Linked DNA regions of Danio rerio. The protein of the gene in region 2 interacts with the protein of the main gene of each other region in a biochemical or structural test. Links are inferred from orthologs where the notes say so. Each region holds a gene or a part of one and is shown on either strand. Other genes may lie near its edges. The genes, in order: vegfd and flt4.

The links.
Region 1: the proteins of flt4 (region 2) and vegfd form a complex in vitro, tested with the Homo sapiens proteins (2 studies listed by BioGRID). The link is inferred for Danio rerio from reciprocal best matches to the Homo sapiens genes FLT4 and VEGFD.

Annotation. Positions count from the first base shown.
Region 1 is NC_133186.1:31,991,002-31,993,862, forward strand, and holds part of vegfd (vascular endothelial growth factor D precursor), read right to left. Parts: intron 497-2,861; coding exon 298-496; intron 209-297; coding exon 18-208; intron 1-17. UniProt on the Homo sapiens protein: Growth factor active in angiogenesis, lymphangiogenesis and endothelial cell growth, stimulating their proliferation and migration and also has effects on the permeability of blood vessels.
Region 2 is NC_133189.1:18,235,633-18,240,223, forward strand, and holds the start of flt4 (vascular endothelial growth factor receptor 3 precursor), read right to left. Parts: upstream 2,811-4,591; 5' UTR 2,712-2,810; coding exon 2,654-2,711; intron 1-2,653. UniProt on the Homo sapiens protein: Tyrosine-protein kinase that acts as a cell-surface receptor for VEGFC and VEGFD, and plays an essential role in adult lymphangiogenesis and in the development of the vascular network and the cardiovascular system during embryonic development.

The DNA.
Region 1 (2,861 bases), on a different chromosome or scaffold from region 2:
CAATGAGTAGTGCTCACAGTTTTATTGACATAAGTCATGCTTGTATTACGGCAGGTAACTCCCTCTTTGTTGCAGCAGCCGCCACACCTGAAGACAGAGACGCATGGGGGCTTAAAAAACACAGCTGTATTGGTTCCCAGTTCTTTAGCCACATCAACACATGTCTCTCTCGGCATACACTGTGTTTTCTGCCATTCGTCATCAATATCTGAAAAACAGATTAGTTTATACATTTAGCATGACGTTGCTTTCACAATTATGCATTTAGACATCAGACATTTCAAAGAAGATCATAACCTTTAAGCATCTCTGGGCTGAACGATGCGGCTGCATATCGAGTTGACCTGCGGTTCTCAGGTGGGGTAACGTCATCGAAGTGCTTCAGCTTGAGTCTGCATCTCCACAACTTCCAGTCCGGGTATTCGGTCAACATCAGAAGCTCATCCAGACTCCCGGCTTCCCTCAGTTCCTGCTCCCACTTTTCCTGATTTGTGTCCTGTGGAGATATATAATCTTGAGTCTAAAAAAAGTGCTGGGACTGCTGATTTTAATACAACAATGGAAAATTTTTTCGAGGAATAGGGCCTGAGGCATGTTGAGTAAAATTCGGCCAAAGAAAAAGCAATGGAAGAGCAATGCGGAAGTTCGAGAAATGATTTGAAATAATGATGTAATACTTCACAAATTAGAAACACCTTTTTTCTTCACTTAACAACCCACTATAAAGACTTGCATCATTCAAACTCCCTGCTGTTTGTGAGGTGTGTGAAGTCCTGCCATGGTAAAAGGCGAACTGGAAGGATTTAATCACTAACGCATGACCAGATCTACTTGTATCCACTAGAGGGCGGTAGCGATAATCAATGATAAATCCTCTGCATTTTTTTGGCTGTGCAAAGAATCAGTATTACACCAGGGAAAGGATGCAGCTGTTCCTTGTGTGGTTCTGCTATAATTTATATACCAAGTTATAGACTCGCATGATTTATTGCCAATCCTTTTTGACATGACTAGGCAACCTTCAGCACGGCTTAAAGAACTCTATGGTAATATGACGCAGTTTTAAAGCACTGTGGACTGGACAGCCATATACTACCTGTGAGACCTACTGGATCTTCATAATCTCTAGGACCTAATCTGGAGGACCATAAAGTTCAAGTTTTCTTTTCTGAAACCAGGTTGTGTAGCCAATCACATGGAACACCCTCTGGCAGAGGCCCACTCTAAACAACTGCAGCATAAGCTCTATTAGCTCAGTATGGACCACCTGTTTAGAAGCTCAGTGAAGACACAGATCCTAGGGATTGGAGTTTGGGATGCTTGCCACCAATATGAGCAGAAGATCATGGCTGTTTTGCAAAACATGAATTGAATAACTACTAAGTGCCCGGTGACAGCTGCACAATAACCTTTACAAAGTCACAAGCGGTCAGTCTTTCAGTAGGCAGTGCCAATGCTGATACCTTGAGAGAGTCGAGTAAATAATGTGAAATAATGCCAAAGATTGTGTGTGTGTGTATGTATGTATGTATATATATATATATATATATATATATATATATATATATATATATATATATATATATAAATATATATATATATATATATATATATATATACATATATATATATATATATACATATATATATATATATATATATATATATATATATATATATATATATATATATATATATATATATATTAGTGAAAATCTCAGTAACAAATTGGCATGCAACCAACAATCTTATAAATATTAAACCTCTATAGATGCAATGATTATAGATTTTGGTTATATGATTATAGTCTGAGAAATAATCACGATGGTTATTACTGTTATCATGCATTTATTAATTTCAAAACACTACTAGTTTAGGAAACTACATGAACATTTATATTTTAAATTGTTATATATTGTGGCTCAGTAACTAAATAACACAGCAGAAAATAATACCCAGCAGACACACAACATCATAAGACATATGGATTTAGGTCAACAGCTTTTAAGGACAATGTTATTTTGAAGTTCAATAATGACATGAAATAAAGTTGATATTTGGTTGATTTTAGTTTGTGTTGGAAAGTGACCAAAATCTAACGTTGAGCCAACATCTTAAACCAACGTCATATAGATGATAAATACTGACATTTATTTATCAGGTATGGCAACCAAAATCCAATGTCTGATAAACGTCATAGTGTAAAACATCCACACAACGTCAAGGTGTAATAAGATTAGATGTTGATATTTTGTTGTATTTAGGTTGTGTTAGAAAGTAAGCAAAATGCATGTTTGTCCAATGTTGGAAATTGATGTTGGCCTGACATTGGTTCTGATGTCAACTCGATTTTCATTTTCAATCAAAATGCAACGTCCCACGACGTTGGGGTACAATCTGATGTCATGTTGATGTCCTGTGCCTGCTGGGTAATAACAAAAACAAACAATAGTCCATTTCTTTTTGGACTTAAAAAGAAGTGACATTTAAACAAAAGTAATAATTTTACACTGAAAATAAATACAAATAAAAACCAATTAAAAATATTTGTTTAATACAAATCTAAGCTACATATTAGCAAAGTATTTCCTCTTTTAAAAATGTAGTCAAAGGCTGCTGAACCTCTGTTTGAAAGGCACTTTAAATCAACTATTACAAAATTATTTGGTATTTTCATTTCACAAAGTACTAATCTGATCGATCTATTCGTCATGTGATTTGTGGTGTGCTTGCAGTATTCTTAAAAATGTAAATGTTTTCAACTAGGCGTGCCTGGAAAGTGCAAGCATGTCGCTCCGCATGCATTGAAAAAAAATGAACTTGTGCATGCAAAAGAAACTCATTATATGTTGTGTATTGTT
Region 2 (4,591 bases):
TCTAGTGTTATGGATGTGACATATGCAGTAAAAACCTAAAGCATAAATTCACAAAAAAACTATATGTTAACATTATATACTGAAACATCTGTTTATATAACCCATAACTACAGAGTTATGGGATCAGGAAAATATCAATCTGTAAACATATCTTACATTTTAAATGAGGAAAATAAACATGCTTTATAGATGTGACCAATTTTTTTACAGTATAAAAACATTCTGTGAATTAAACTGCACAACCCAAAAGAAAAAATGCAAATCAAAACGATAAAAGTTCTCTCAATAGAACAAAAATGACTGGTTTTATTTTACATTTTGGCATTTATGAAGGAAAAGCTTCATTTTAGATGTGACATCTCTCTGTTATGGATCTTACAGATATGAAATTTGTGTGACTTTGGTAAATCAAATATAATTGTTTGAAAACACTGGCAGAGACATTTTAGAGTATTTTTTGAGTAATGTAAAATACAAACCTACACAAAGCCCTAAAAAAGGTTTCTCTATTTTGGTGGAATTCAGTCTTGTCTGTAGCACCAACTTAATAGATAAACATACTGCTGTGTAAAACTGAAGGCGTAAGGTTATAGCACTGGCCCTATATACACACAATAAACACAGTAATGATATATATTTTTAATTTCACTGCTCTCATAATAACCAGATAGATCGGAATTGGTTGTGATTTCAAAACCCAGCCAGTATATACACAGTATGAGACAATTAGCCCAGCTATTGTAAAACACGTTGCAAAAGTGTGAACTTAAAACATTAAGTCATCATCTGAGGTTTAAAATATGGCTTTACAATCACACTTTACAGCATTCTGCTCCAGTCATATATCAAATTACAAACATTCTGGAGATCTAATGATGAGATATTTGTTTCCGCCAACAGAGTAATGGAGTTTAATCAGCAGAATCTCCAGACAGTAATTACTGTCTATTATACGACACACTACAGATACTGCCTAGAAGGCAATGTTGCAGCCAAAAGAGCTCCTCATGCTGTTACATAATAAACCTGCTTGACACGTTCAAATGTAGTTGACCACTAATTTAAATTCTGCTCTTCATATCAGCTTCACAAGGTATTCTGAAAAAGTAGGTAATTTGGAAAGCCATGCTGCTTAAAGGTATTCTAACATTTTGGACATACTGTAGCGCTTGTTATGACAAAGCAGTCAAGCACAGGGACACCAAGCTGCCATGTGGTTTTGATTTTGTGCAGTGTTTTAATAAAGACATCTATAAGTGTGGTTCTTATAGCTGTAGATTCCTAGCATTGAGAAAATTCTCATCCTTTTGCCAAAATCTATAGAAGAGGTGCTACAGTATTTGATGTGTAACCTGCCAACATGCTGGAAGAATTAGTTTTACAACCCTTCCAATCTCAATATATGACACCTGCACTGGCTGAGACTCTTAAGTATCTCTTTTAGTTGGGATTCACTGCAAAATGAACTTCTTTCTTCACCACTAGCATGAAAAAGGGATTTTTGAGAGCAGTGCAGTGAGGAGAAAAGTGGGTTTCTGCTGTCTCAAACAGCTCAGTATTATGATTGGCTGATATCACACCCCCTGACTGAGGGTCTGGTTTCAGAGGTGTTCTGTTGGAATAATACTGTGTACATAAGAAATACCACAGCAAAAAATAATAATATGCGGGATATCGATAACAGAAAACATTAGGAAATACCATGACGATTAAGGTCAAAATAAAAACATGATTTTGCATCTGCCACAAAAAAAAGATTATTCCTGTCAATGCAAAAGTCATTGTGGCTTCTAATTAGCATATTTGATGGATCACAGCTTATCATTCTCATGTCATGCAACTCAACTGCTTTATTAAAACTGTGTCTGGCTACATTGCAGTCTGGAGTTTTAATTCCATCCCATTAGTAATACCAATTAACAAAAGGCATTCACCTTTCATGTATAACCACAAGGCTCCCTCTAGTGATGTGTCATATAGTACTTTCGTTGAGGGAAAAAGTAAATTAAACTGCAGACATTGCAATGATTGCTCGTGTGAAGGAGAACAGCAGTGCGGTGATTGTAATGAACTATGCATAGCCTAACTAAAGGCGAACAGTCGTGAGATGCACAGAAGGACAGAAAGTCAAGTAGAATTAAAAGTACATACAAATTCATAGACTCTGCTTTAAACCTCATGCAAGAATTATGAATTTTGTGAGTTATGAATAGAGCTAGTCTACTTGATGTCTTCGATTCATTAATCTTTTAAATTGTTTTAATACCTGATTATGGTTCAAATTGTGTAGCTAATTGGTGGTTATGACTGGTGTTAATAAATTACTAATGATAAATGAGAGGATAATTATTAGGCACAATTATGAAGAAAAAAAGTTATACAAAAGAAAACTTTTGCTGAAGTAGGTTAATACAAAACTTGAGCAACTCGGGAAAAGCTCCCGACAAACTTTCATGAAAACTTGAGTTTTAAAAGGCGACAAAATTCAAACGGTCACATTAATGCGAACCTTTCGCGCTCTTTCAGTTTTGATAGTTGTTCATGAAGTGAATGTTCTGACATTGCCTCTTTTTAAATGAAACAAAGAGTTTAAATTTTGCCGCGTTCTATTATGACAACAAACTTCGAAGTGTTTAGGAAAATGCGTTCTCACCTGAGAAGAAGGGAATCCCAATCCAAATCCGACAGAAAAACGTAAAATCTCTCTTCATTTCCAGGTTTCCAGTCCTCCGGGGTTTTAGATATTCTAGCAAACCTGCGCGTTTTCTGATGTCATTTAATAAAGCCAACAGAAGCACCTCAGAATCAGGTGAAACCCAAAGAAGCGTCTCTGCAAGAGGATGTGCCACAGGACGACGGGAATAAAACGCTCTTTTTCCTGTTGAAAAGAGAATCCCGAAGTTCTGAATGGATTTACAATCATTTCCTTTTCCTCTGACTCACTCATCTGCCTCCTTTCGTTCATAAACGCCCGTGTCCTCCTCAGTGATAATACTATTACTCCCCCAGTCTGAAGTGTCACATAAAGTGTCTGGCCCCTGTGCTGTAAGTTTTAACTGACAATGCCTTCTGAAGACCAGCAGTTCATTTGCGTCCACTATAGTGGACATATGGTTTGTGTTAATATTACCGAGGTCTTAAATGCCACTGTTTGAAGTTCTGATATGCAGGATTTCTGTGATAAAAATTGGCTGAAGTTGAAGAGTTGGTCTAGTGAGAATAATTGCCATGGTCTGATACTGAAAAGGCTACATCTCAACAGTGAATTGTTCCACACTCCCAGTTGTGATTTTTGAGGAAATTGTTCATCCAGCAATGAAAAAAAAAAAAAGGTTTTGATAATAATAAAAAAATGCAAGTCAATGGCTGCTGGATTTTTGACAACCAAATGTAAATAAATAAATAACAAATTAATTAAATAACAAGTTGTGGCTCCTGAAGATACATTGGCTGTATCTGAAAGCTTATAGGATGCTGACTTGTTGCCAGTATTTCAGCATGGCACCTCGTAAAACAGATTTCAGACTTCTGAGACAACATAATGATTTAAACACATACAATAAAATAGAGAGAGCTTTGGTGATATAACCAGGGCTAGACAGAAACTGTATACATGTTTTGCTATTTCTGCGCAGAATTTTATTTGCAGTATCTATAGATTCATGCTGAATAATTATGGGAGTATAGTAACTAAAAGCTTAACGTGAAAAAAATAATAATGTTTTTTTAACTTAATGTTTACAGTGCAAATCCAATGAGATCAATTTGTTTGGTAAACAAAGCATTCTCTCCTATAAATGTATTTAACAGAAGATTAATAGTAAAGGAAACATATTACTTTACAAACTGTTTTGTAAATAAATCATAAACATTTGCACATTAGTTAATAAAATTACTGAAATGATTATAAAAACCGAGGTCCCACTTTATTTTAGGTGACCCTAATAAATATGTATTTACATTATAAATTAATAATTTGCTACAATGTTCTTGTGTAAATGTTTTTACATTGCATTTATGACTGATTAAACCTGCATGTAATCTGTTATTAATTTCTGTAATTGCATTGGTAATTACACTGTAGACCATTCTTTACACCTTCTTCCACCCTTAAACCTATCCATGGCCATAACCTAACAAACCTTTTCCTAACCTTACCTGTATCCATCCTCAAAAGCACCAGAAGTGTTCTGCAATACATTATGAACACAGTAAGTACATTGTATTAATTTTTTGATGCAAGTAGAAAGTAGTTAAGGCCACTTCATATAAAGTGGGACCAAAACTGAATATTTACACACATTTACATATAAATGAATATGCTCGATGGACTAAAAAACGTATCTGCAGATTTCAGTGCATGCAGATTTAATGTGAACCTAGTGATAATGAAAGGAACATTTGATAACTACAATAGTCACAAAATTAAAAAGTTGGTCAAAAACATACATTTACACATTAAAAAATGACAATAAAGAGGGTGGCGCTGTGGTGCAGTGGGTAGCACTGTTGCCTAACAGCAAGAAGGTCACTGGTTCGAGCCTTGGCTGGGTCAGTTGGTATTTCTGTGTGGAGTTTGAATGTTCTCCCG